Linked DNA regions of Sus scrofa. The main gene of each other region encodes a partner of the protein of the gene in region 5 in a complex. Links are inferred from orthologs where the notes say so. Each region holds a gene or a part of one and is shown on either strand. Other genes may lie near its edges. The genes, in order: EID3, NSMCE1, NSMCE4A, NSMCE2, SMC5 and NSMCE3.

Region 1 (4,908 bases), on a different chromosome or scaffold from region 5:
TGCTGCAGTGACAGCAAATGTTTTTAAAGCTCAGGACATTTAGTTCTCCCTTAATTTTGTCCAATGAAAGCTTGATGACACTGTCGGTAAACGCCGGAGTAACTATCCAGCGCTTGAACCGGTATTACTCCACTGCGGGAATTGAGACAATTGAGACCCACGAGCACGCGTTCTCCGTGGCGTGGACCCGGGCTTGTTTGAGAACCCAGGGGTCTGGGCTCCGCGGGGCGGGGGCTGTTGGGAGGCGGGGCGACCTGGGGGCGGGGCCTCTGGGCCGTCCCTAGCGCGCATGGGCGGACGTCCTCCTCCGCTCTGTCTGACCCCTTCGATTTTCCGCCGTTGTCCTAAACGTTGCCGGGGCGTCATCTGAGCCATCAGTTCCCGAAATGTCTGATGAAAGAGATTCCCTGAGGTGGGGGGACAGAGAGAAAGGAGAGGAGCCGGTTGTGACCGTCACCCGCAGTGCGTACTCTGGCAGGCAGGCGCAGGAGGAGGAGGGGGAGGCAGGGGCTGATGCCTTCTCTGACGACCTCAGCCTTGGGGAGGCCGACATTGACCCAAGCCTCCTGGAGCTTGTGGACGAGGAGAAATGCCGGAGTATCCGCAAGCAGTACCGGCAGCTCATCTATAACGTCCAGCAGAACCGTGATGACATAGTGAACACGGCGAGCGACTCCTTAACCGAGGCTCTCGAGGAAGCCAATGTCCTGTTTGATGCAGTGAGTCGAACAAGAGAAGCCGCGCTTGATGCGCAGTTTCTTGTTTTGGCTTCTGATTTGGGTAAAGAAAAAGCAAAGCAGCTAAACTCTGATATGAGCTTTTTTAATCAAGTAGCATTTTGTGACTTTCTGTTTATATTTGTGGGTCTAAACTGGATGGAAGATGATGGACGTGATGTATTGAATGACTGTGATGATAATATAGCTTTTTCCTTCTGGGAGACAGTGCAAAAGGAAGCAACATCGTGGATATTGCAAGCTGAAACATTCCACTTTATTTTTGGTTCATTCAAATCAGAGCCTTCTTCTCGAAAGCCCCGACTTGAAAACCGGAAAAAAGTTCACAAGATGGAAGAAAATGGGGACATGCCTACAAAGCTGAGGAAGCTGGACCTGAGTAGTAATCAAGAAGCGACAGAAAAAGAAGTAGAAAGAATCTTGGGATTGTTGCAAACATACTTTAGAAAGTATCCTGATACTCCCGTGTCCTATTTTGAGTTTGTGATTGATCCAAATTCTTTTTCTCGTACTGTGGAGAATATATTTTATGTTTCTTTCATTATAAGGGATGGTTTTGCAAGAATAAGGCTTGACCAAGACAGGCTGCCAATATTAGAGCCAATTAATATGAACCAAGTGGGTGAGGGAAATGATCCCAGTTCCCATGGCAGGAAACAAGGGGTTATATCTTTGAGTTTACAGGACTGGAAAAATATTGTGGCAACTTTTGAAATTTCAGAGGCTATGATCACAAACTCATACTGAAGATAACTTGCTCTTAGAATGTATTTTGTGGCTTTTCTAAAGCATATCAAAACGGCTAATAAAATCCAAACAAAACACACATTGTATCTCTTGTAAAGTGAAAAAGTATTATCAATAACATCAGAAGTTGTGTACTGTGCAATGTGTTTTTCTTGGTATTTATAGAATTGTCATGATTTTCTGCTAACTAAAGAAATTCACTAGCATGTTTGTGGAAACTTTTTTTTTTTTTTTTGACTGTTCCTTAAGACCTTATTAAGAGAAGTTCTGAATTTTTTAAATTAAAAGGTGTTTGACAATTGCAAAAACTTAGTTATGAGGCTCTGTGATACTGCATTGCTTCCTCTGCTACAGGGAATCAAGGGAATTCCATATAGGCTCTTAACCAGGTTGAGGGAAAGAGTGGGTGAAAAAAAATGGTCTGGAAAGACTATCTGTAGGGCAGTGCATAAATACTGTAAAAAAATTCAGATGCCGTGCCTCATTGCAAAGAGGACTCAGCAAATTAGCAGGGATATCCAGATTCTAAAGAATTTCTCCTGTGATTGGACTCAGCGGAAGTAGAATATCTCTACTATAGTAGGTGAGGCATTAACTAAGTGCTGAGAGATGAGTAGAAATTGGTCAAAGATAGGAAAAGTATTCTAGCAGGGAAATATGGAGGCCAAATACATGGAATTGTAAGATGTTACGGTATCAGAAAGATTTATAAGCTTTTTCTGAACACTGTTCCATTTGAATGTTATATTGGGCAAAAATTGATTTACTTCATTCATCTGTTAATATCCTCAGAGGTTGAAGATCTCTGTCAGATTATTTCACACGCAAACTATTTTAACATCCATTTACAATCTCTATCTACTTAAATTCTTCTCTGGCTTCTCATTTTTCCCTTGTAATTTATGTTAGTACACAGTGATTCTGCTAGTATCTCAGAATCAGTGATGTTTCATTATGTTGCAGCCTTGAAATGTTTGTTACCATTTCAACTTTGTATTTCTCAATAGGGCTTTAAATGCCTGGAAATTGTCCTTGTTTAAATTTAAATATATGACTAATTTATCCAAATATTCTTCACTTCTTATAAAGTCAAAAGGCTTTATGTTGTTGCTTATAATTATTTTAAGAATATAAATTGCATTGTTATTTGGAGGCTACTGTTAGAAATTTGGGTCTTTAAGAAAACAATTTTTGAGTTCCCGTCGTGGCTCATCAGTTAGCGAAGCCGACTAGAATCCATGGGTTCGATTCCTGACCTCGCTCAGTGAGTTAAGGATCCGGTGTTGCCGTGAGCTGTGGTGTAGGTCGCAGAAGTGGCTCAGATCTGATGTGGCTGTGGCTGGCATAGGCTGGTAGCTACAGTTTCGATTGGACCCTAGCCTGAGAACCTCCATATGCCATGGGTGCAGCCCTAAAAGACAAAAAAAAAGACCAAAAAAAAAAAAAAAAAGCAATTTTTGAAGGTGCTGTGAGCATGCTTGTAAGCTTTTCTTGATCTCTAGAAACTTAATCTTGGGTCGTAGTGGGTCTTGCCATTAAACCGTATTTAGTAAGTGGGTAAGTATCTGCTTTGTTTAGCAGTAATGATAAACTTTACTGCCACGTCTCATGTAGTAAGGGAAGGGAAATCAAAAGGCTAAATGAATGACATTGAGATTGAGAGGTTCTTTAGTCTTAGTGGAGGGTTTTAGCAAACATAGGAATTTCTCCTGAGACATGGCCTATTATTTTCTAAACTAGTCGTTCCTTTCCCTTTTTTCATGTGAAGGGGTCCTCTCCCTTCCCAGTACCTACCACCCTTTGATCTAGCAGCTGTGGAGGCCTCATTTCGTCTGGCTGATTCTTCCTTTAGTGTGTCTTCCAGCCGCCCCCTTAGGTTTTCCAGAGCTTTGCTGTTTGGGGGAAAGATCTCGACGGGAGCAGAAAGATCTTGCCTCAGGTCTGCTCACCACCGGATGACTCTTTAAACACCAGGTGTCTTGACCAGGAGTGTTTGCGACTTGATGATTGAAAGCACATTGCGTAGCAGAGAACGGGGAGGCTTGTGAAGGAGGGCATCTTTGGGTCTCCTCTAAAGTTACAGCAGAAATAGAATTTTTTTTTTTTTTTTTTTTTTTTTTTTTTTTGCTATTTCTTGGGCCGCTCCCGCGGCATATGGAGGTTCCCAGGCTAGGGGTCGAATTGGAGCTGTAGCCACTGGCCTACACCAGAGCCACAGCAACGCAGGATCCGAGCCGCGTCTGCAACCTACACCACAGCTCATGGCAACGCCGGATCGTTAACCCACTGAGCAAGGGCAGGGACCGAACCCGCAACCTCATGGTTCCTAGTTGGATTCGTTAACCACTGCGCCACGACGGGAACTCCCCAGAAATAGAATTTAAGTTAAACACTTGTTTCTGTTTTTAACTGGTTGTCATGACACCTGGATTGCCTCATCACTTGGAAATTAAGCCACTACTTACCTTGAAGAAAAAAGGAAAATTGACCAATAGATAATTCATTTTTAGAGATTAGGTAAGAACCAAACTCAAGTCTGCTGGTTTCCCAGTAGTACAGTTAGAGTGATTTAAATTTCATAGGTTCAATAAAGTCAGCTGAACTTTGGGAGAATAATACGGAAAAAAATTTTTTTTTTTTTTGTCTTTTTGCGATTTCTTGAGCCGCTCCCTTGGCATATGGAGCTTCCCAGGCTAGGGGTCAAGTCAGAGCTGTAGCCACCGGCCTACACCACAGCCACAGCAACTCGGGATCTGAGCTGCATCTGCAACCTACACCACAGCTCACGGCAACGCGGGATCCTTAACCCACCGAGCAAGGCCAGGGATCAAACCTGCAACCTCATGGTTCCTAGTTGGGTTTGTTAACCACTGAGCCACGACGGGAACTCCATGGAAATTTTTTAAACTGGGATTTTGTTGTATAACAGAACAGAGTGTATAACTTCCTGATCAAAGGACCTGGGATCAATCAGATCCTGATGTCTAACATTCTAGTCAGAGACTTTGGACAAATTATTGAACCTGCAAACCTTAGGTTTTTTATTTGCTAAGTGGAAATAATTACCTATTCTCATACATTTACAGTAAGGATAAACTTAGGAAGTGTATGTGACAAGTACTTTTGAATTATTGGGTATCATGTTGAGAAAAGCAAGAAGTTTTTAATTATTTGGATCTGGGTTTAATTCTTGACTTATGGGCAAGTTTCTTAATCTCTAAGGGTTTCTTTATTGTTATTTCTGAAATGGGAATGCCATGTGGTTGGATAACTAGTCTGGGGATAAAATGGGATGATAAATACAAAACAGCTGAGCAATCACCTTAGTGGCTCACCTGATAGGTGAGTGTTGGAAAGTCCGTGCTATCACCTCCTTCCATGGTGACATCCCTGTCATGGTTCATTCATTTTAAGTCTAGACATG
Region 2 (4,674 bases), on a different chromosome or scaffold from region 5:
AAGAAGAGCTGGTCTGGGTTTGAGCGGCAGCAGGCCTCCTGGGCGCTTGGTGCAGGTGAGCAGGTGTTACTGCTTAGTGCTGCCGTGTGGTCCAGGACTGGCTGCAGCATCACCCTGGAGGGAGCTTTCGAGAAAGGCCGGATCCCAGTCCCCACCCAGACTGTTGAATCCGAACCTGCATTCTGGGAAGGTCCCTCCAGGGTGATGCACTTGCATGGCGACATTGAGAGCCGCTGCCCTGTCACTGTTCACTGAGCCACCTTGTCGCTTACCTGGCTGAGCACCTGGTTAAAGACGGGGTTCTGAGTCCGGATGTGCGATGTAGTAACTGGGAGGTAAAACTCCAGGTCTGTGGGCTTCAAGGCTTCGAGGGCTGAGTCATAGGGTCATTCCTTTCTAAGCTTCCCCTGGGGACGACGAGCAGCCAGCGTTGAGAACCAGGCTCCAAGATGCCAGACAGGTGTGTGGGCAGAAAGCCTGTCTTCCCAGCAGCTCTGCACTGCTATGGGCAGAAGCCATAGGGCAGCCCGCCTGCCAGCCTCCCCCGGCCTGGCACCATGGGCACCATGCCTCTGAGGCCGCCAGGGGTGCTCTCCTGCTGCGCCCCCCCCCACCGGCTCTGCTTTCCTGTCACTTAGGCCAGCCTCGTGGTCTGCTCACGTTTCACTCTCAGCTTCTCCATCTTCAGGGAGGTGAAATGACCCTTCTTGATTTAAGGGGAGGCATTAAGATCATTCATTTGGGGAGTTCCCATTGTGGCTCGGTGGAAATGAATCTGACTAGTATCCACGAGGACACGGGTTCGATCCCTGGCCTGGCACAGTGGGTTAAGGATCTGGCGTTGCCGTGAGCTGTGGTGTAGGTCGCAGATGCAGCTTGGATCCCGAATTGCTGTGGTTGTGGCTGGGCCGGAAGCTACAGCTCCGACTTGACCCCTAGCCTGGGACTCTCCATATGCTGTGGGTGCAGCCCTAAAATAAAGACAAAATAAATAAGACTCTTCACTTGGGATGGCGTTACAAGAGTGACTGTGGAGTCAAAACTGAATGTGTTATGGTTTTTGATGCATATTATTGTTTTCCTGAAGGCTCCTAGATTTCTGCCTGAGATGTGAGTAATTTCACTGCACCCCTGTCGGGGTTGGTATCATTGCTTCAAAGTTATTTTTGCCGATTTAATAGATGAACGTGGTACCCGCTGTTTCTTCTAGCTGGAACTCATTATCGACTCCGAAAGCGGCTTCGCGTCTTCCACAAATATCTTGAACCTGGTCGATCAGCTCAAAGGCAAGAAGATGAGGAAGAAGGAGGCCGAGCAAGTGCTGCAGAAGTTTGTACAAAACAAATGGCTCATTGAGGTACCTGGTCCCACAGATTCTCCAGCTTGGCTCACTTTTTGGAGGGAATCATCATCTTCCCTCCCCAACCACCCTGGATCCCACGCGTGTCTGTGGAGCCAGGCCCTTTCAGGCCCCTCATCTGCTTCGATGCCCACAGTGACCCTGCGAGGAGGCCTGGAACCTCCTGGTCACTCCTGTGACCTTGTCCAGGGTGCCCCAGCTGGAAGTGGCCAGGCCTGTGACCCGGGTCCACGGGCTGGAGGCAGTGTGCACGCTGGGTAGGGGTACAGCGTGAGCACCAGCCCTGGGCCCAAATCCCGGTGCGGGTGTCCCCCGTGTCCTCATGTCTACTGAGGGGAGTGGTGGCATCCACTCCAGGTGCGTCAGGTGCCTGCTGCTGGCCCCTCAGGAATCGCTGTGACGGCACGGTTCTCAATGGCAGCATCACACTCTTCTGGACCCGTGCTCTTGGGTTCTTGCACTTAGATGGCGGCCCTTGAGGCGAGGAGCTGGAGGGAGCCGGGAAAGGTTCAAGCTTCTAGACGCCCTGCGTCTAGTTCTGTCAGCTGGAGCAGTCAGATGTCTCCGCTCTTTTTCCACAAACGCACCCCCGTTTCCAAGAAACCCAAGCCGGACGTGCTTAGCGCCGCCCTGGGTCCCACAGCCCTGCCCCTCCGCTGCCCATCTGGGCGGGACGTGCTCAGCTGGGCCCTCGACTTCCTCACTCAGCGGTCAGGCCCGAGGCTGGAGGCTGCTGCTGTGGTAACGCCATGCTTCACTTCCCTTCTGGGGAGAGGTCCCCTCTGGTGTGGTGACAGCAGTGCTCTGAGTGGTCGATCTCTTGGTGGAGGGGACCCCGGCAGCCTGACCAGAAATAGTCAGTTCCTGAGGGACTTTGCTGATGGGAGGAAAGGTCTGGCGAGGCCACAGCGGCCAGGTCAGGGGTGGCAGGTGGGGGGTGTGCCAGCATCTCTGGGCACGTCTGCACCTCAGGTCCTCCCGGCCGCCCTGTGACGACACGGAGCCCCTTAGCTCTGTTCCGTGGCCGAACCACGGCAGCCCCATGATCTGGGTGAAGTCCCACAGCCGGCAAGTGGCAGGGCCATGCTCAGCCCCCAGCTCGGGTGACTGCAGGTCCCTGTCAATTGCTTTGTCACAGTTTTCCTTCCTCTCTGGGGTGGATTTGGCAACACGGAACGTTCTGGGGCAGCTCGGGTCACAACCCCACGCTCTGTCCTCGGGCAAGCTCCCTGAGGGCCAGGCCTGCGCCCTCCTCGTGGCTGCACCTCAGTGCTCCTGAGGCCCTGGTAACTGCTTCCTGAACGGGGCGGGAGGATGGAATCCCAGAGGAACGCAATGTATCTAAAACATACCGAGGCAGTGACACCGGAAATCCTTGTAGATTGGGAAGAAGCGGTGTTTGGATGGGGGATCACGTTGCTGAGAACACGTGTCATCGTGTCATCCTCCCCCCGCCCACCGAGCTCACCCCCTGTGCCCTGCTTGGGGCCTGCAGGCGGTCGTGCATATCCAGCACGATGCTGTCACGTCACCGCGCAGGGCTGGAGGCTGTCCTTTGCTGCCCAGAGAGGGGACCAGGGAAGGAAAGAATGTGCTTCTGGGGGCTGCTGGGCTTGCCCTCGGGCCCAGCCTCCTGTCATCTCTGCTTCTTCCTCAGTGACATGGAGATGCTGGGGCCGCCTTCTCCAGGGGCGGCCCTGACCTTGGGGGAGACGGTGGCCTGGAGGCTCTGTGAGCTGAGCCCTGGCCCCCACAGCCCCACAGGCCTCAGGGGAGCCCCCTGGCTGGCTGAGCCCTCGGGCCTTTCGCGGACGAAGGAACAGGCCCGGTGCAGCAGAGGATGCGGTGGGCAGGCCCCCAGGTGCTCTGGCTTTGCTGCTGCCCGTGGCAGTGGCTTCTGGTCTCTGGGCCGTTTCCTGTCTGGAGGATGAGGACAGTGACGGCTTCGGGTGTTTCCTTCGTGAGGGCGGAGTGCTCTCTGAATGGTCAGCCTGGGGGTTGCCGTGAGTCCTGTGGCCCTCTGGAGGAACAGCTGAGGGACTTTGGGGTGGCTGCTGGCCGGTCCCCTGACCTGCCTTCCTGGGGCAGTACCTTGATCAGAGGGACCACGGCCTCTCAGAATGAGACTTTCCCCAGGAGCTGTGCTGTGCAGACTTTATTGGCCACAATGGGAGACTCACCAGTCCCTGGACAGGACTCTGCCCCGGCTCAGCTGAGTGTGGGCTGGGCAGGGTCAGTGGGGGGAGGCCCCAGGACCGGGGAACCCTCAGAAGGTGTGGCCCCTTGGAGCTTGGATGCCATTCATTGACTTCAACGGATAAACTTCCACGGACCCCTGTGACACCTGTCTGCCTCTGGGTGGCTCTCAGCCTACCTCTTCCCTGTGAGGTGGCCATGGGGTCAGCCACTGCAGTCAAGGGTTTCTGTATTTCCTGGCTTTCTCAGGGTTTGGGGGTTACACGGCCTGGGGACTGTTTGGATGTGGGAACCGAGAGGCCCTGCCACCCACGCCACCACGATGCAGCCTGGGGCCTCCCTGGACCCGCCCTAGCGTGGTCCCGAAAGTGGCGTGGCTAGAGGTAATTAGAGACCACCCCTGCGGAGGCTCCAGGCAGGAGTGCTGGGAGGCACCTGCAGTGCTGCTCCTGGGGGCTGGGGGTCGGGGGAGAAGAGGAGGGAGGGGGCACCTGGGTCTGGGCTGGGAGTTCGCCCCCAGGGGTCACTGCCTCCCTTTCCTGGCCTCTGTCCTGCCGTAGGAGGGCTGGGGCAGACCTCGCGTGTGGGTCTGCTGCACAAGGTCCGTGATGCCAGGAGGTGCACGTACGGCGCTGAGATGATGAGGGGTCTGGGGTCCCCCCCTCGGTTTCCTTTCAGGTCTTTCCCAAGTTTCCCTGCTCAAGGCTCTGCCAGGGGCCGGCGTGGATGCCCGCTGGCTGGGTTGGCAAAAGCCTGTGGGGTGAGGGGTGTACAGGCCTCTGCCCCTTTCTGGGCTTTTCTCGGGCTGTGGGAGCAGAGGCACCGGGCGGGAAAAGGGCATGCCTGGTGTGCCAGTTTCCTAAAAGATGCCGTGTCCTACCGTGTCCCTGCAGAAGGAAGGGGAGTTCACCCTGCACGGCCGCGCCATCCTGGAGATGGAGCAGTACATCCGGGAGGTGTACCCCGACGCCGTGAAGGTCTGCAACATCTGCCACGGCCTCCTCATCCAGGTACCGCGGGCACCTTCTAGAAGTCTCTTTCTGGGCCCAGGCCTCCGGCACTGCTGCCACCTCCTCCGACGTGGGCAGCGGTGGGCATCTCCTGCCTGGTTCCTCTCT
Region 3 (4,674 bases), on a different chromosome or scaffold from region 5:
AGACCAAGACTCTTGTCAGGCCTGTGACACCCTTTCTGCTCCCTTAGTGTTTCTCGAACTCCTCGGGGCCTGACTCCACCACAGATGCCTTGTCTGCGCCTTCATATTTCACTCTGAACGGTCGGCCAGAGAAGCTGGTCTTGCCGGCTGGCCTGTTGTCTGTTTCGCAACCTCAGAAATCAGGGCAAGGATGAACACGTGGGGAAGGGGAACCAGCTGCTCCACTGGGGTTAAAAGCGTTTGGTCTGGGGGTGTCATGGCAGAGACCCACAGGCTAGGACTCTAGAACACACCTGTCTTAGGAGGTCACAGGTCAAGCAGAGGCCTTTCCCTCTTGGACTCCCTCCACCCCCCAAAAAATGCAGATTTAAGCTACAGTGATAGATGTATCACGTAGAAACCAAGGCCGGGAGCATCGTGGTCCTTACACATGAGATCAAGGTATGCAGTATAGATGGACAGATAAGTACACATCTATCTCAGTACTCATCAGCACACAGATCCGCTTCTTTGTAACACAGTAGCTCCTACGGTGGGTACTGGAGTGTGACTCAAGGGCTATTCCCCCCAGACATGGCAGCGATCTGGTTAGGAAATCTGATCCTACACTGATACCTCTGTCTAGAGAAGTTACTGGAGGCTTCCAGGCTGGGGACTGTGGGATGAGGAAACCTTACCAGATGGGAAAAATGGGGGAAAGGACCCTGTAGGCCACAGGAGCAGCAGGTGCAAGGCTGCAGAGTAGCAAGAAAATCATGGTGGCTGCAACGTGGGCTAGATGAGGAGATAAAGTTTAAGTCATGTAACAAAAGAGCCTAGGGCTTTTGACAGAGCCTAGAACTCAACAGCAAAAAAAAAAGATTTGGACTTTTCTTTTTTCATCTTTTTAGGGCTGCACTGGAGGCATATGGAGGTTCCCAGGCTAGGGGTTGAATCAAAGCTGTAGCTGCTGGCCTATGCTACAGCCACAGCAACTCGGGATCTGAGCTGAGTCTGCAACCTACACCACAGCTGACAGCAACACCAGATCCTTATCCCACTGAGTGAGGCCAGGGATCGAACCTGCGTCCTCATGGATGCTGGTCAGGTTCGTTAACCACTGAGCCACGATGGGAACTCTTGGACTTTTCTTATAATAAAAAAGTTTGATCTTTTTGCTATAATATTCAGTGGTTCTGGGCACTGGAGTTAAAGGAAGTCTGGTTAAAAAGAGATGCCTGGGAGTTCCCACTGTGGCCCAACCTGATCAGAGGCATCTTGGAAGTGCTGGGACACAGGTTTGATCCCTGGCCTGGCACAGCGGGTTAAGGATCTGGCGCTGCAGCGGCTGCAGCGTAGGTTGCTACTTCGGCTTGGATCTAATCCCTGGTTGGGGAATTCCAGGTGCTGTGGGGCAGGCAAAAAAGAAAAAAAACAGATACCTGGCCCCACACCACAGCCCCACTGCATCTGCATCTCCAAAGCCTTCTGAGACACCGCTAATCTAGAAGCGCAGTCAGGATAGACAGATGCCCTGGAGCTGTCCACTTAAGGGAGAAAGCACTTGGTGGTTTACTCTAGAGCAGTTCTCTCCATCTGAAGGCTGCCTTACAAAAGGACCCATAAGAGCTGTCTCAGTTTCTCCAGAGGACTGAGCTAGGGAATGAAGACAGAAGCCAATTCCCATTGAGTATAAAAGGAAAGCTTTTCAAAAATGAGAGTTGTATCCGAAAAACGAACTGGGCAGTTTATGTGCCAATGACTCAAGCAGTCTTCAAATTTAGGTCAGAGATGATCCAACAGGGCATTACAACAAACAGCACTTTACATATACTGGTAGAATCTTAAGATATCTTTTGTGGGAGGTCTCATCCTCCTACATAATAAGGCTTTTAAAGATGATAAAACAAAGCCAGACATTATCCCACAGACCTCACACTAGAAAGCAGAGGAGCCAGCAGAGGGCCCTGGTAAGGAGGGGCCGGCCCACAGCCTTAATTTAAGCAGGATGAGGTCCCATCCACACCAAGATTTTATGGGCTTTTAAATATTTCCCAGGCTAGGGGTCGAAATCCAGCTGTAGCTCCTGGCCTACACCACAGCCACAGCAAGCTCGGGCACTGAACTCTGCAACCTGTACCACAGCTCACGGCAACGCCAGATCCTTCACCCACTGGGAGCGGCTAGGGATCAAACCTGAGTCCTCATGGAGACTAGTTGGGTTTGTTTCCACTGAGCCAAGCAGGGAACTCTAAATCAAAACTGAGGAGTTCTCTTGTGGCACAGCAGGTGTTGTGATCTGGCGCTGTCATCGCAGCTGCTCTGGTTGCTGCTACGGCGAGGGTTCAAACCCTGGCCCAGGAACTTCCATGTGCCAAAGTTGCGGCCAAGAAATAAAAAAAATAAACACAAAGTTTAGACTCCAAACAATGGCATCACGACCACCTACAACACCAAATACTTTCTGTCCCTACAATAGAAAACAATTTAAGGTTTACACATAGCTGGGGTATCAGATTTTTAGAATAATCTTACAGAAAGTGGAATGTATGGGTTTTATTAAAGGTGTTTTCTGCTGTTTTGCCTGATATTTTCCAGGAGTCATAGACTATGAATTCAAAGTCAGAACTGTCTTCATCACGGACGAGTTCTTCAGCTTCTAGCGGATTTACTCCCATATGTGTCAGCTACAGAAACGAAGGGAGACAAAAACCCGTTAAGCCACAAGCCGTCATTTACCACATCCAAGCATCTCTATCGCTAAACAAGAGGCCAGAGGCTAAGTCCGTTTTCCGTATCCTAACATGTTGGCTAAATTTCTTCTGATAAATTCCGATTTTTCAAAGCTACCTTCCTTTTTTTTTTTTTTGCCTTTTTAGGGCTGCATCTGTGGCATATGGAGGTTCCCAGGCTAGGGGTCCAATCGGAGCTACAGCTGCCGGCCTACGCCACAGCCACAGCAACGCCAGATCCAAACTGCGCCTGTGACTTACACCACGGCTCACGGCAACGCCGGATCCTTAACCCGCTGAGCAAGGCCAGGGATCGAACCTGCAACCTCATGGTTCCTAGTCGGATTTGTTTCCGCTGTGCCACGATGGGAACTCCAAAAGCTGCCTTCTTTTTGGCAGAAAATATGTCTCACTTCATTACCACTTCTAGTACGTACTTAGAGCTTCTGGTGAGAGAGTGAGATGGTCCAGATCAGTGGTTCTCAACTAGGGTGATTTGACCCCCGGGGGTCTTTGGACATTTTGGTTACCACAGCCAAGTCTGGAGACATCTTTATTAGTCTAATATTAGTCTAATAATTCTCTTATCTCAGGCTCTCTTACAGCAAGTGTATGGTATTAAATTTGCTCTTATGAAACACTTATTACATTATAAAATGCCTAGTTATCACAACTGGAGGGGGGGCATGGAGGGAGGCAGTGTGACTGCCATCGAGTGGGTAGAAGCCAGCGTGCTGCTCAACATCCTACAATGTACAGGACAGCCCCCCCCGCGACCAAGACACACTCAGGCCAAGATGTCCTGAGGGCTGCCGAGGCTGAAAAACCCTGTCTAGCCCCTGTGAGGGGTGCAACATAAGAACTAAGCTCCCGCGGGGAGTTTCTGATCACAAGCAGTCCATTTTGAAAGTATTAGTAAAGCTGAAACTATGCAATCACACCCAGATCAGCAGTTCCAAGACAGAACAGGGACATCTGGCTGGCGTCCCACGTGCATTTTCAGCCACCCTCCTGGAGACTGCTATTCAGCTTGTGCCCCAGCATTTCCAGAGAGCTGTGGCCTCGCGTCTGGGAGGGAATTGTTCACCTTAAAACTGCCTTCCTGGGAAGAGCTGGCGGAAGTCTAATAATTCTCTTATCTCAGGCTCTCTTACAGCAAGTGTATGCTATTAAATTTGCTTTTTTGAAAGAATGCTCTTATTACATTATAAAATGCCTAGAAGTTATCAAGGTAACATGGTAATATCGTATATAAACAGTCATCCAGAAGCCCTCAGAGAGCTTAATGCTTTACAGGCAATTTAAATGTTTGAAGAGAGGCTGCTAGAACCTGGACAGAGAAGAAAGGTCACCCTCCCAAGCCCCCGGTCCTCCTGACATCGTGTCCCACTACCACACACTTGGAAGATGACGTTTCAATTTTTGTCTGGTCAAATCTACCCATCCTTTCTTTATGGTCTTTTTTCTTTCTTTCTCCCTTTCTTTTTGTCTTTTTAGGGCTGCATTTATGGTCTTATATTTGGTGTTATACTTGAAAAGCTCTTCCCCACCCAGAGACTAGACAGCTCTTAATTTCAGGTCTTAAATGGACTGCTTTAAGACTTCTGGGATTTATTTTTGAGATGTCATTTAAAGTACCAAGCTCACCCTGAGAAACAAAAGTAATTTTTAAAAATATCACCCAATATATGGTCACCTTTACAGAGCTGTACTTTCATGTGCATTTTTCAAAATGCATTCTACTTCAAAATTAAAAAGTTTAGAAAAATTTTAAGGTTTGAAGTTTAAGTAAGTTAAATTTACATTTTAAAAAATTTAAGGTTTTGGAGTTCCCATTATGGCGTAGTGGAAACGAATCCGACTAGGAACCATGAGGTTGCAGGTTCGATCCCAGGCCTTGCTCAGTGGGTTAAGGATCCAGCCTTGCCATGAGCTGGGGTGTAGGTTGCAGACGTGGCTCGGA
Region 4 (4,674 bases), on a different chromosome or scaffold from region 5:
TGGAGTCAGATCCTTAACCCACTGCACCACAGTAGGAACTCATTTTTTATTTATTTATTTTTTAAGAATAAAAACTTTTTAACACGTACTATGTGCCAGAGTTAAATGCAGACCTAATGTGATTACGTCTTCATGGCACTGCGGTGGGTCTTCCTGATCGCTAGTTAAGAAATGAGAGAAATCGAGGACCTGGAAGAATCGTCCCCAAATCCACCATTTAGGGTGGACCCAGACCTACCTGCTTGATCCCAAGGTCCCTGTTCATTCTCCTCCATCATGTCAACTTTGCTTCAAGCTACTATTAACCTCTCTACAAATAAACACGTCTCTTTTGCTCTCTCTTTCCCAGGAGCTGCTTCCCATCTCTTCCTTCCCTTGCTCCAAAACTTTATTCACTTCGCTCCGCTGTTTACTAGCCATCTTTTCTGGAATAAGTCCCAGCCTCTCTGGTTTTCTGTTGTGGGATTGGGGGGATTCTCTTTTCTACCTCATTATATTTTTATCTGAATGAAATGAGGGAACTATGGTCCCTCTTCTTATGTCTACACGGTAGTATTCAGCATCCGTGTAATTCGCTAGTTCGCCCACATCATTTGAGCACCTACTGTACAACAGAGAGTACTAGGCACCAGTGAACATCACAGCTCACAGCAATGCCGGATCCCCAACCCAATGAGCAAGGCAAGGGATTGAACCTGCATCCTCATGGATACTGGTCAGATTTGTTTCTGCTGTGCCATGACGGGAACTCCAAATAATGACTTTTTTCTTTCCCCTTTGGGATTATTTATCCTGAAGATACACACAGCCAGAAACCATTAAAAATAATAGTCAATCCCCATTTATTGCACTGATTTAGACAGACAATGAGTTTAATATTTTCCAGGCTCTCATTTTGATAGCTAGAGTACAGTGAGTTCTCTTTGCAGCAGACCTGCAAACAGATGCTGCAGATGATGCCAACTGCAGCATTACATTTCCCGAGAAGATATTTGCTGCAGTGAATTTATGTGCATATAGCAGTTCTCTTGAGGTTCTTGTGTTGGGGAAGACAACACTCGGTATTGCTAAACACAACAGGGAATATAGCCAATATTTTATAATAACTAGAAATGAGTATAACCTTTAAAAATTGAGAATCACTGTGCTGTACACCTGTAACTTAAAAAATATTGTGCGTAAACTACATCTTAATTTTTTAAAAAGGATTTTATTTATTTGTTTGTTTGTTTTCGGCTGCATTGAGCATTTGGAAGCTCCTGGGCCAGGGATTGAACCCACACCACAGCAGTGACAACACCGGATCCTTATTTCCGCTGACCCACCAGGGAACTCCTAAAAGAGGATTTTTAAAAGTATAGAAAAATAAACTAAAGCACCTCCTGCTTCACATTGAAAAGTGGTTACAAAGGCAGTGTACTGTTCTTATTTCTGGCTCCAAAGAATTGTGTGATAGAATAAAAGAAATTAGTGTCACAGAATGAAAAAGGGGGAAAATACTTGTTATTTTATGTTATTGTGTATCTGCCCTTAGGGATTGTATCTGTGTATTAAAGATAATGGTTACAGTGAAAAAAAAAAAAATAAGGTTGAAGATGGATGGGTAGGTGTGTGATAAAGCAAACAGCAGAGGTGTTCCCGTCGTGGCTCAGTGGTTAAGAATCCGACTAGGAATCATGAGGTTGCAGGTTCGATCCCTGGCCTTGTTCAGTGGGTTAAGGACCCGGCGTTGCCATGAGCTATGGTATAGGTCGCAGGCGTGGCTTGGATCTGGCGTTGCTGTGGTATAGGTTGGCGGCTACAGCTCCGATTAGATCCCTAGCTTGGGAACCTCCATATGCTGTGGCAGTGGCCCAAAAAATGGCAAAAAAAAAAAGCAAAACAGCAGAATTTTTGTGGTGTCTAGGAGGTAGGTGAATGGTAAAATACAATTTTTTCCATGTTTTTGCATGTTTCAAACTATTAGCAGGGGGAAAAAAATAAAGATTGAGGAGTTCCCGTCGTGGCGCAGTGGTTAACGAATCCGATTAAGAACCATGAGGTTGCGGGTTCCATCCCTGCCCTTGCTCAGTGGGTTAATGATCCGGCGTTGCCGTGAACTGTGGTGTAGGTTGCAGACGCGGCTCAGATCCCGCGTTGCTGTGGCTCTGGCGTAGGCCGGCAGCTACAGCTCCGATAGGACCCCTAACCTGGGAACCTCCATATGCCGTGGGAGCGGCCCAAGAAATAGCAAAAAGACTAAATAAATAAATAAATAAATAAATAAAATAAAGATTGAGAGTTTAGCCTTGAACAGAATAATGGGCATTTATTCCTTGTGGCAGCAAATGGTGGGAGTTCAAGGTTAAAGCCTCACCTTGTTTTGTAAAGTAGGAACCCCTCTCACTTGCTGGGGACAAGGGCCTGAGAAAGAGGAGTGCTTAAGAGAATGAAGGATGGGAGTTCCCCTTGTGGCTCAGCGGGTATCAGACTAGTATCCATGAGGATGCAGGTTCGATCCCTGGCCTTGCTCAGTGGGTTAAGAATCCAGTGTTGCCGTGAGCTGTGGTATAGGTCGCAGACGCCGTTTGGATCCCTTGTTGCTGTGGCTGTGGTGTAGGCCAGCAGCCACAGCTCTGATTTGACCCCTAGCCCAGGAACTTCCACATCCTACAGGTGTGGCTCCAAAAAGAATGAAAAAAAGAGAATGAAGGATGGAATGCTCTCTCGTAGTAGGAGAGGGGACTGAGCAGACCTAAGCCAGAGGAAGCCTTACTCTGAAAGCCTAAGGAAGAGGAGGAAGCCACTGTGCTCAGGTTCCGGGGAAGGTAGAGGGCACAGTTGCCCCAGTGTGAGATTCCCCCCCACTCCGTGGTAGTTGTCAGGAGACAACAGGTTAATAGGGCCCTGAAGGGGTGGTTTAAGACAGCAAAGGGTACCTGGGATGAATGATTCCCTCCGCTGTTTACTAGCCATCTTTTCTGGAACGCGTCCCAGCCTCTCTGGTTTTCTGTTATGGGATTGGGGGGGATTCTCTTTTCTACCTCATTATATTTTTATCTGAATGAAATGAGGGAACCGTGTCATCGTTAACATTTAAATAAAGTGATGTTATTGTCTTCCTCAGGTAAAAGAAGAACGTCCAGAAAAAATACCCGATCTAAAATTATTAGTGGAGGAGAAGTTTTTGGCTTTACAGAATGAGAATTCCGAGGCAGACTTTCAAAATAATGAAAAATTTGTGCAGTTTAAACAACAGCTGAAAGAACTAAAGAAGCAATGTAAGTCAGCATGCTTTGCTTTGGTTTGGCTTTTTGAAATTAGGGAACTGGATGAACGTTCACAGAAAACTGATTTTTTATAGAGTTTGCTTATCTGCTTGGCTTGACCCTCTTTCTAAATTGCTTTTTTATTGTTGCTGCAATTCTGTATTCTGCCTTAACTTTTGGTTCACATCAGCCTGTCCCTTTCTGAAAGCCAACAGTTTCCACAAAGTGCTAAGAAAATTCCTCAGCAGGTAGAGAAAAGTCACACTGTTGTCTCACTGCTGGGGAGGGGACTTGGGAATGTAAAACTGAAAGCACTTTTATTAAAATAACAATGGTATTTTTTCAAATTTTAAACTGCTGTGCCAAGCTTTACAATGACCATGCCTTGATTCTAGTTTTGCTGCTTTAGACGAGTAGGAGCAATTGTTTTTTTTTTTTTTTGGTCAAACAGGAGACCAAAATTCTCTTGATCCCTTCTCTCTCTTGGTAGTCATATAAATTCCACATGCTTCTTAGATTTGTTGTCTTCCTGAGAAAATTTATTAAACTGAGATTTTTAATGAACATAATTTTGATTGAAAAATGAGAGTGGAAGAAATTAGGGGTATCCAAAAGAAGTTTGTATAGAAATATGTATTTCCTATACAGTGAAGTACATATGTCCCTCTCCCCCCCCCTCTTTTTCCATATAATCCACATAACAGTTTTATCTGATTTTATTGTTTTTACTTTACACTAGCATCGATTGTTCTTTTAGTTTTGAGGTTCTTTTCTTCCTTAGGGAATAAAGAAGCAAATAACTTTTTTTGCACTTTAATATCACCTTCATCTGCATGCGTGGGGAACAGGAGTGCATGATATGTGAATTTACTTCATGCTCTTATATGTACTCAGGATAGGGATTCATATTTTGAAATAGGCTTTCTTTTAAATATAAGCATTTTCTTTAAATTGATGCTGAGATTTCAAAAAATGACTGAGGAAGCTGCTTTACTTTTGTCTATTTTACAAATAACTCAAGTTTCACAATTTGGAATGTTTTGCAATCATGATGAGACTTTTGCTTTTACTGTAGATTTAAACAGTAAGCATTTTTTCCCACATTTTAAGTCAATTTTTTTTTTTGTCCTTGAACAACGCAAGCTACCAAAATCTCTCTAACATAATTTGCATTGTTCCCCTAAATGGCTAGTAATAATCTCCCAAACAGGTAATAATTAGCTAGTGCCTTTCTGGTCTTAGGATGCTAGTGATTGCTGTTTTGGTGTTGGCCAAAAAAGCCAAGTGTATTTTATTTTTCTACTTGGAGCCAATAATCATAGAGTATGGCAGATTTAGCATCTGATCGTACTTCTTGATTTTTTTAGATGTTTTATAATATAGATTAAAGGACAAATATCCAAAAATAGAAATTTCTTCCTACTTT
Region 5 (4,674 bases):
ATGGTGTTTGGAATATGCATTAATGTATGAAATTCCTCGTATAAGTTCTTGAAAGAAAAGATCTCCAAAATGCAAAAAAGTCTTTGAAGTCCTTGGAAAGTTGCTTGTATTAAGTATTCCCTAAATATACAGGAATTAAGTATATAAGATTATGTATCTGAACGATATAACTGAGGGGAGGAGAGAGTAAATGACTTGAGATATCACAGTTCACTCAACTGGGCTACTGACTCTTGGCATCTCTTCTATAGATAAAACAGAAATCCAAAAGTATACTTACTGGGGAGAGATTGTATACTCAAGTAGAAGTATAGCTGACTTTGCTCAGTGTCTTGGTTTTTCTCTCAATTCTCTCTTCCTTAGTGTTGCTTTCCACAATATAACCTGAAATATATCACCTGAAATGTTGGATACATTTTTCAAAAAACATAAATGAAAATATATGTTTTGATCTTTTAAAATTCACTTTGATCATATTTTTAGTGCTTTATTTAGTCTTTTAAAAATATAATCATTCTGAAATGTGCACTGAATGTTTATTTTACATTATAGGTAATACAAGAAACCCGATTAAAACAAATTTATACAGCAGAAGAAAAGTATGTGGTGAAAGCTTCTTTTTATTCAAACAAAGTTATTTCTAGTAACACATCCCTAAAAGTAGCCCAATTTCTCACAGTCACTGTGGATCTAGAGCAAAGACGACACTTAGAGGAACAGCTAAAGGTTGGTCATTTTAATTTAGTGTGATTATTAAACTAGTAGAAGTCCAATTGATATTTTTTCAACTAGACAGTTTTTTCAATATACTAACAATTTTGCATATTCCATAGGAAATTAATAGAAAATTGCAAGCAGTAGAATCAGGGATGATTACCTTACGTGAGACAAACAAACATCTGGAACACAAAGATAATGAACTTAGACAAAAGAAGAAGGAGCTTCTTGAAAGGAAAACCAAGAAAAGACAACTGGAACAAAAAATCAATTCCAAACTGGGAAGGTATCTTTTCAGCCTGTTCTGGGGTAAGGGCTGTCAGGGGCTGGTACAAAAGCACTGTGAGGATATTATTAGTTATACCCTGGAATGATGACACAATTCCCACAGGGAAGTTCTGTAATCACTTCTCTCTCAGATTTTAATTCTACCACCAAAACACAGGACAAGGTAGGTGAATCTTAAATGTTGTTTTCCTGTTCCCTCATTAGCTGTTCTCATCCCTGGAACCCCTTTCTATTATAAATTATTGAGGACCTTAAGGAAGTTTTGTTTATATGGATTGCATCCATTGATATTTACCACATTAGAAATTAATTCATTAAAAATAATTCATTATATGTTAACATAAAATATTTATGAAAAACAACTGTTTGTCCAAACAAAATACATTTAGCAGAAGAGTAGCATTTTTTTTTTTTTACCTTTTTGTAAATCTCTTTAGGTGAAATCAGTTTTTTCATATGTGCTTCTGCAGTCATTCGGTTCTAAGATGTTTGCGTTGAAAAAAAAATCTGACCTCACATAGATAAGCAGCTGGAAAAGGGAGGAGTGCTTTAATAGACTTTTCAGTGGTGTGTGTGTGTGTGTGTGTGTGTGTGTGTGTGGTGTGTGTGTGCATTTTTTTTTTTTTTTTTTTTTCCTTTTTAGGGCAGCACCTGTGGCATATGGAAGTTCCCAGGCTAGGAATCAAATCAGAGCTACAACTGCCAGCCTACACCACAGCCACAGCAACGCGGGATCCGAACCGTGTCTGTGATTTGCACCACAGCTCCTTAACCTGCTGAGTGAGGCCAGAAATTGAACCCACAACCTCATGGTTCCTAGTTGGATTTGTTTCTACTGTGCCACAACGAGAACTCCAAGTGTTACGTATACTCTTTAATGTTACATCACAGCTTGCCAAGTTAAAGTTTAATTGCAAATGGAATCTGAAATCATCAGTGAAGTTGTATACTCTTACATTACTTTAAGTGCTTCTTTTACCCATAAATGACTTTATTATATTATGCAGTGATCATTTGGAAAATATTGGCTCACCAAGTCATGTAGATCTTCAGATAACATTTTATCGTGTAATATTTTTAAGAATCACATTATCTCCAGTCTAATCAGAAGAGCCTTTAGAATTGGGAAGCTGTGAAGCACACAGTGGTGGATAAAAAGTTTCCAAAATTCTGATTTTTACTTGACAGCTTGAATCCTATCATTGGCAACAAGTTTTGGGGTTTTTTTTTTTTGGTCTTTTTCTAGGGCTGCATCTGTGGCATATGGAGGTTCCCAGGCTAGGGGTCTAATCGGAGCTGAAGTTGCCGGCCTACACCACAGCCACAGCAACGCCAGATCCAAGCCACGTCTGCAACCTATACCACAGCTCACGGCAACACCGGATCTGTAACCCACTGAGCAAGGCCAGGGATTGAACCTGCAACCTCATGGTTCCTAGTTTGATTCGTTAACCACTGAGCCACAATGGGAACTCTTGGCAACAAATATTATCAGTAATTATTTTTTAATCACTTAAGATAGGCTTACGCTTCATTCACTTTGGGTGGAAAAGGAAATTTGCTTAATACCAAAGTCAGAATAACCATAGTTTATCCATCATTCTTCAAAGAAAAAGTAGTATGCCATGAATAAAGTGTCTAGTTTAGCTCCTTAACAGAAGGGACTGTATTTGTAAACAGTGTTTATCAGTTATAGGCTACACGCTAATTATACTGCGTCATTGGCCTTTTTTAAAATTTTCACCAAAGCCCTATAGGAAAGGTACTATTATTATATCCAATTTATAGATGGAAAAACCGAAGCTCAGAAGAGTATCTTGTTCAGTTAGACAGCTCATTAGTGACAAAGAGGAAATTCAAATCATCTTTCTGACTCCAGATCCTATACCATTAGCACTAGCATTATGTAGCTAGATTATGCTGGGCACATAACGTATCTCAAAAAATACTTTTTTTCAATCCTGACTGGTTGTATAAAATGATTGTTTAATCTAAATGCTAGCAGTTAACACATCTGAGTAGCATTGCTAAACAGCCCATAAAATAGCAGGGAACCTAAGGCTTTGGCCTCCATTCTTGTGTTTTTTCTGATTACTGTATCATTATGCACTTCATACAGTTTAAAGCTGATGGAACAGGATACTTGCAACCTTGAAGAGGAGGAGAGAAAAGCTAATACAAAAATCAAAGAAATAAATGTTCAAAAAGCAAAACTTGTTACAGAATTAACAAACCTATTAAAGGTAAGGCATTTTCTTGATATGAGTCATATTTTTTTGAGTGCAAGTAGATAGTAAAATCTTAGCAAGAGATTTTTATCAATATCAATAATTTCAGTTTTCTGTTTGACGTTTCTTGGTATACATTAGTTAAATTGGTCAAAAGCACTCATTAAGCTAACTATTTTATTCTAGATGATACAAATATACAGGAAAACTTAAAAATTCTCTTAGAAGAAAATTATAAGAAGAATTGAGAGAGGTATCAGTCATATTAGAAAAATGTTATTTTTTCCATATTTTATAATTTTGTTTTTTAAAAGAAACTTATTTTTCTTAGTTTTAAAACAAATTAAACTCTTAGGGGTTTTTTATTCCTAGATTTGTACTTCTTTGCATATACAAAAAGTAGATTTAATTCTTCAAAATACTACAGTGATCTCTAAGAAGAACAAATTGGAGTCAGATTATATGGCTGCTTCATCACAACTACGTCTCACAGAGGTAAAATTTTTGGTTTTATTTTTTATTTGGGGATTTAGACCACTTTGAAAACATACATACTTATATCATCCCTTTCAATATGCAGTTTGTTATGTGCTCTTTAATTTATGAATTTAATGCATCCTGCTGACAAGGAAGCAATATTTGGAATACTTGTATGTATGCTGCATGTTATGTTATTTGGTGGGGGGAGGGGTAGTAATTATCAAAAAAAAAAAAAGAAATCAGAGTATCTGATTTAGTCCCTTGGAAACGAGTGTCTCATGCTGCTTTCTTAATCCATGTAAGTTATCGTCATTACTATTATCAAACAGCAACTAGTAGGTTTTTTTGCAATTTGTATCTTATAAAGTAAATTGCAGATGAGTTGTAATCAACACTAAGAGTGGCCTTAGTGTGTAATCTTGGTGATTTAGTCTTCTGTTAGTATCTTTGAAATGAGATATTGAAACTGGGAGGGGGCAGGGTGGTGGTATACTAGGTTAAGATAAATTCCAAAGAACTAGTAACAAAAGAGTAGTGACTGTGGCAGTTTTGAGTCTTGCACATTTCTTTCCCAAAAATAGAAGAGCAACTAGGATAACATAACAACCACAAACTAAGCTTTAAAGTGTCCCTACTGGTGTACTGCAGTATATTCTCATACTGACCACTCAGGGTTAGCATCAGGCTGTGTAAGTTAAGGGCTTAGCCCCCAATAAAACTGCCCTTACTTCAGATGCCAGCTCCAAGTTCAGGGATCTCCAGGCTACCTGCACTTCTGACCAACTGGCTACAAATTCAGAGGTTCTCCTGTGACTCCCTCAGATTCAGTAATTCACTAGAATGACTCACAGAATTCAAGAAGAGGCTGTACTTAACCATTGTAGTCTTACTGTAAAGGATACAAATCACTACTGGTCAAATGAAGAGGCGTATGGGGTGAGGGTACCTAACAGTTTCTGTA
Region 6 (5,258 bases), about 79 Mb from region 5:
ACCCATCAGAAACACCATTCCAAGAGCCTTTCATACATGGCTTTCCTAGAAACCTTCAAAAACATTTAATCCTTATGTTCGTGGTAAAGTAAATGCTCCCCAACTCACTTATGAGATGAGAACAGTGTTTTCGATTTCCTGAACAACTCAGTGCTAAAGCCATTGGGTGGAGCAGAGCAGGTCATTTTGCTTTGTGTGCTGCAGGAGAGGGACTGAAAGGCAAGGGCCTCAGGGTGTGGTGCTAGAGCCCAAGCTTTAGAAGGAGGGTGGATGCCCAGGGCAGTTCTGGTGGGATGTCAGCTTCCCAGTACGGAGGAAAGGGCATCCCACACAGGAGGGTGTGGCAGCCAGAAGAGACTGGTTATTTACAGGCAATTGATCAAATAATTATTAGAAGGATTAAAGGATATGAATTTCTTACTGTTCGAGAAGTTAGGTACAGATAGAACAGTACAGATAGAACAAGGGAGAAAACCATAATAAACACTACGGTATAGAATGGATATGCTATTATCAATGTAATGTCATAGTTTTCAGTAGATGATAGCTAGATATACAAATAGACAAAAAGACTAACTTTGTCATGTAGAGGGCTAGAAGCAAGGATACTTCTAGAAGGCATGAGGAAACCTGGCAACCTTGTTTCTGAATTCGTTTCCATCCAAAAGGAATCAGAGCTCTTTGGAGAAAATGGCTGAGAGGTCTGTGGCAGGGAAAATTCAAGTTAAGGCTGAATGATCTTTTTGTGCCAGAAAGTATGGAATTGCTCAAAGAATGATGGGGGCAAGTAGAAGACACAAAAGCCAGCTTTAAAATGCTCCCAGTGGCAAACAGGGACAATTTGGGTATCAAAATAAATCGTGACAATAAAAGACTATAATGAATCTATACAGATAAAAGTGAATAAACTGAAATTTTGGTGAGGAATACAATATTTACAAAATCTCTGTCTCCACACAAGTTGCTTGTTTGTTACAAAGGGAAATGGAAAATTTCAAAGTGTAGAGGAATGGCAGAAACCACCTTAACCAAAGTGATCAAAGTTACAAAATAATAGGACAAATTGAAAACTAAATAGATAATGAAAGAAAACCTTCAAAATTTTTTTTTGTTGCTCCATACCAAGAATAAAAAACATATTTAAACAAACTTTTAAGGAACAGAGCAACAACTAAAATCCCCCACACCCAGCATTGTGCCAAGAACTTCACACATATTTCCATATCTAAGTATCACATCACACACAATACAGGCATCATCAACCCACTTTACAGGTGAGGAAAAATCTGTATACATCTTAAGTAACATGCCTAATTCATATAGCTAGTTATGCAGAAGTAGAATCTGAATCCAGATAGTTTGCTTCCCAGGTAGGCATGGTTAATCACTAATGGCTTTATCTTTTCTGTAACCCACTGAAAGAAATACATTTTACATCGTGATATGCACATACACAAATAAAACAATTTCCACAAAACACTATTTACCTTAATGCTATGTAGCAAAAAGTGTTTTTTGTTAAGATGCCTGTTTTCAGTCATGAAATTAATTTCTCGACTTATGGTTAAAAAAATGCACAATGCTGCTTCAAAACACAGTATTTATTGTAACTATAGTAGCCAAAAAAGGAAAAAAATAAATGTAACTAAAAGTCAGCCACACAACCTAGTAGTAATTATCGAGGTAAAGTTATTTGGGAAAAATACAGCATGTACATTACTTAGAATGATTCATAACGCTTACATACATAAAAAATACATTCTAAAAGTAGCTATGCTAAATTTAAAAAGGGATATAGGCAATTACATTTTATAGACTTTTATTGTTTCAATTTATAGACTTTTATTGTTCCTTTCAAAGTGGGGTCGTCAAGAGGCCAGGTAAGAGCCATTTCGTGCTTTTATTTCCTTGACATCAAAGCAACTTACTGACGTGTTCTTTCTTCAATATCTATTTCCAGATCATGGTACAAAGTTTTCCAATTAGCTTTAGAAAGCTAGCGAGATTTTTATACCAAAAAACACAGACAATAAATCAAAACAAATCGTCCGTTAATATTTTTATAGGTGAAAATTTGGAACCAAGGAACTTGCAATATAAGTCGGCAAACACATCCTAAAACTACGCACATTGAAGCTTTAGCAGAAAGATGCACACACACCACACACACACACACACACACACACGCCCCCCACCCCCCCCTGGAGTCCCTCTGAGTCTCTCAGATTTCAAGAAGAAGGGGCTGGGCCACCTGTTGGGGGTCTGGCCCTGGCCTCCTCCTCAGCCAGAGCCTCACAGTACTGAGCCGGCCAGTCCTTGGGGTCCTGATTGTGGACTTTGGCCACGAACTTGAGCACCTTCATCTTGCTGGTCTCCAGGTTGGTGCGTGGGCCCCACTGGAGCTCGTAGTCCACAGGATCAGTGTGGGGGATGCGCCGGTACTCCAGATACCTCTGCCGCACGAAGTCCTCGGTTATAAGCTTCTTGGGGTCCCCGAAGATCAGGTGCTTCTTGGTGGGGTGCACCCCGAGGCGCCGCAGAAAGTCCCAGACCTCCGTCTCCTTGATGCTGTTGCCTTTCATAAAGATGAGCCCCAGCACGATCATCAGCAACCCGGTGGTAGGTGTGCCCTGGTCGCCGCGCACCTCGGCGTCCTCCTCCACCGGCTCCAGCGTGTTGACCAGGATGTAGGTGTTGCTCCGGGGCTCCAGCTCTACCAGCCGGTACCCGAACACGTACTCCAGGCGCTCGGCTGCCAGCCGGAGCAGCTCCGGGAGGACGTCTTTATAGTCTCCGACCACGTGCTTCAGGATGTCGGTGCGCCGGATCGGGATCTTCCTCTGGTCCTTGATCAGCAGGAACTGCACGAGTTCGGCCACCTTCAGCTCCAGCTGCTTCTGCGACCGGGGCCCCGGCGCTGGGGAGGCCTCGGCCCGCCGGCCGCCCTGCGAGGAAGGCCCGCGGGACGTGCTCGGGACCTCCTCTGCGCCGCCGCCTCCTCCCCAGTCCCGCTCCCGTTCTGCCTGGGTGCCGGCGCGGCCGCGACTCTTCGGTTTTTGCGACATATCGCGGCGGCGGGCCCCGGACGGCGCGGACTCACAGTAACCGGCGGCTGCGAGATTGCGGGTAGGCGCGCAGCTGGTCCCGGCGGCCCGGGGCGGGGCCACGGGCGCGAGTTCCTCACGGAGGCTGCGCGCTGCGTCAAGAGGGCTGCGCGCTACGTCACGGAGTTCGCGCCACGTCTTGTGGGTAGGTCGGAGCAGTGGCCTTTTGGCAGTCAGGAAAGTGGGGTCTTTGCTCAGCCTTGGCGGTCCCTATGGCTTCTTTTATTATAATTAAGGATTGTCCTTACCAAGCCAAGCAGATAGAGAACAGGAAACAAAGCCCCTAACAGAGCGACTAGGACTACTGAGAGTAAGTATGACGAGTTCTCAAGTCGGAACTTGTTAGGTGAAGGAAACTCCGAAGGTGAATGTGGGAGAAAAACCGCGGAGAGCGTGAAAGGAAAGTGAAAGCATTTCTTTTCCATTCAAAACTAGATGTAAAAGGAATGAAAAACCATGAGGACTAGTTTGCTTTCACCAATCCCTCCTAACCGTTTCCCAAGAGTTACTTTCTCTAAAGCCTGTTTAAAACAGTCTCTTTAAAAACAAAGGTAACAACAGACTTGCCTTTTCACTATTTCAGTGTCGATATTGTGTACATATAAATACCATCAGCTGGACAACTTCGCGAAGCCGCCCCATAAATCACGTTTAATTGGAGTGTTTTTGCTTGGTCAAGGGAGTTTATCTTTTATAAAGCACATGCTCATGAAAATCGCCTTGGTCCCACAACCAGAATTTTAGCAGAAATGGGTGAGAGAAAGCTACCAACAAAGATATGCGCTCTCAAGAGGTTGCCGTTTAATTTTAGGCATCCTGACCAAGAACTGCAATCATGGACTGCCTTAATAGATCAGCCTTAAGGGCTCAATGTGAAAGTTAGGAGAACCCAAGGGTAGCATCCCTTATAATCTATTAAATGTGCAAAAAAAAATATATATATATATATATATATACATATATATATACACACACATAGTGCAACTTTAATAACCAACATGAATTGTTTCATTAACTCAAACCATTTGCAGTCTGCTGCCTTATTTCCACGGATCTTAGCAAATGCCTTTCTTTAAAAAAATTTTTTTTCTTTCGTTTTTTTGTCTTTTTGTCTTTTTAGGGCCGCACCCATGCATATGGAGGTTCCCAGGCTAGGGGTCTAATCAGAGCTGCAGCTGCCAGCCTACACCACAGCAACGCCAGATCCAAGCCGAGTCTGCCACCTACACCACAGCTCAAGGAAATGCTGGATCCTTAGGCCACTGAGTGAGGGCAGGGATGGAACCCAGACCTCATGGTTCCTAGTCAGATTCATTTCTGCTGCGCCACAATGGGAACTCCAGCCTTCCTTTTCTATTTAGTGACTTGCAAAGAAGAAACTGAGTTTCCCATTTTGTCTTTTTTAAAGCTACCAGAAAGTGGGTAAACTCTTCAAAGAACCAAATCAAATTGAGTTCCTCTTTAATGCAAATATATTCCAAGGAAAGTAATTCAAAACACATTATTTGAATAATAGCATCAAAACACAGCCTTATTAAAATTTCATTAAATGTTAGTAGCATAAAATTTTTGTTGTAATTCAGTATGAAAATGCCATCTGATAATGGCGCAGTATTAAATGTAAAATATTCCATGTTGTAGTGCAAGTATGCTAAAATCTGCTAAACTATGAGTAATAACTTTCTGTTCCACACAAGATCTAACAATATATCCTCAAGCATCAATCTTAATGGCAGAAGCCTGCTAAGAAAAACAAATATATCATCAAGGCATTCATTTTGTTTCACAATGAGAAAATTCATCTGCTTCAACTTTCTTGCAAATTAAAATTTAAACCCAAGTTCAAAGAAACCTCCTACAATTGAGAATTCTGCAAAAGGTCCCTTCAGAAGGATCAGTTGTACCCCGACTTAGAAAAGGAAAAAAAATAGCAACCAAGAGATAACAGAAAAATAGGAAATAAGACAAAAACCACTGTCAACAATTGGGCTGGTTTTTTAGTGTTTTGTTTTGTTTTGTTTTTTGTTTTTTTCCTTGATAAGGAGTTTGCCTCAGTTACCAAGTAGTCTCACAGGTCAAGCAAATGGTTAAAAAAATATACCAGCTTTAAGTCTTAAAATACCTCTCTGTACTTTGTCCAGAAGAATGCAAATG

Evidence for each region.
Region 1: SMC5 (region 5) and EID3 share a complex: the UniProt entries of both Homo sapiens proteins name them as parts of the SMC5-SMC6 complex. The link is inferred for Sus scrofa from reciprocal best matches to the Homo sapiens genes SMC5 and EID3.
Region 2: SMC5 (region 5) and NSMCE1 share a complex: the UniProt entries of both Homo sapiens proteins name them as parts of the SMC5-SMC6 complex. The link is inferred for Sus scrofa from reciprocal best matches to the Homo sapiens genes SMC5 and NSMCE1.
Region 3: SMC5 (region 5) and NSMCE4A share a complex: the UniProt entries of both Homo sapiens proteins name them as parts of the SMC5-SMC6 complex. The link is inferred for Sus scrofa from reciprocal best matches to the Homo sapiens genes SMC5 and NSMCE4A.
Region 4: SMC5 (region 5) and NSMCE2 share a complex: the UniProt entries of both Homo sapiens proteins name them as parts of the SMC5-SMC6 complex. The link is inferred for Sus scrofa from reciprocal best matches to the Homo sapiens genes SMC5 and NSMCE2.
Region 6: SMC5 (region 5) and NSMCE3 share a complex: the UniProt entries of both Homo sapiens proteins name them as parts of the SMC5-SMC6 complex. The link is inferred for Sus scrofa from reciprocal best matches to the Homo sapiens genes SMC5 and NSMCE3.

What each region holds. Positions count from the first base shown.
Region 1 is NC_010447.5:80,220,002-80,224,909, reverse strand, and holds the end of EID3 (EP300-interacting inhibitor of differentiation 3), read left to right. Parts: 5' UTR 1-386; coding exon 387-1,484; 3' UTR 1,485-3,576; downstream 3,577-4,908. UniProt on the Homo sapiens protein: Tissue-specific component of the SMC5-SMC6 complex, a complex involved in repair of DNA double-strand breaks by homologous recombination.
Region 2 is NC_010445.4:19,643,705-19,648,378, forward strand, and holds part of NSMCE1 (non-structural maintenance of chromosomes element 1 homolog), read left to right. Parts: intron 1-1,210; coding exon 1,211-1,357; intron 1,358-4,449; coding exon 4,450-4,566; intron 4,567-4,674. UniProt on the Homo sapiens protein: RING-type zinc finger-containing E3 ubiquitin ligase that assembles with melanoma antigen protein (MAGE) to catalyze the direct transfer of ubiquitin from E2 ubiquitin-conjugating enzyme to a specific substrate.
Region 3 is NC_010456.5:131,598,872-131,603,545, forward strand, and holds part of NSMCE4A (non-structural maintenance of chromosomes element 4 homolog A), read right to left. Parts: intron 3,901-4,674; exon of another isoform or gene 2,667-3,900; coding exon 2,515-2,666; intron 1-2,514. UniProt on the Homo sapiens protein: Component of the SMC5-SMC6 complex, a complex involved in DNA double-strand breaks by homologous recombination. The complex may promote sister chromatid homologous recombination by recruiting the SMC1-SMC3 cohesin complex to double-strand breaks.
Region 4 is NC_010446.5:14,517,438-14,522,111, reverse strand, and holds part of NSMCE2 (E3 SUMO-protein ligase NSE2), read left to right. Parts: intron 1-3,106; coding exon 3,107-3,260; intron 3,261-4,674. UniProt on the Homo sapiens protein: E3 SUMO-protein ligase component of the SMC5-SMC6 complex, a complex involved in DNA double-strand break repair by homologous recombination. Is not be required for the stability of the complex.
Region 5 is NC_010443.5:223,629,194-223,633,867, forward strand, and holds part of SMC5 (structural maintenance of chromosomes protein 5), read left to right. Parts: intron 1-552; coding exon 553-726; intron 727-833; coding exon 834-1,003; intron 1,004-3,124; coding exon 3,125-3,248; intron 3,249-3,605; coding exon 3,606-3,728; intron 3,729-4,674. UniProt on the Homo sapiens protein: Core component of the SMC5-SMC6 complex, a complex involved in repair of DNA double-strand breaks by homologous recombination.
Region 6 is NC_010443.5:144,470,856-144,476,113, forward strand, and holds the start of NSMCE3 (non-structural maintenance of chromosomes element 3 homolog), read right to left. Parts: upstream 3,172-5,258; 5' UTR 3,066-3,171; coding exon 2,229-3,065; 3' UTR 1-2,228. UniProt on the Homo sapiens protein: Component of the SMC5-SMC6 complex, a complex involved in repair of DNA double-strand breaks by homologous recombination. The complex may promote sister chromatid homologous recombination by recruiting the SMC1-SMC3 cohesin complex to double-strand breaks.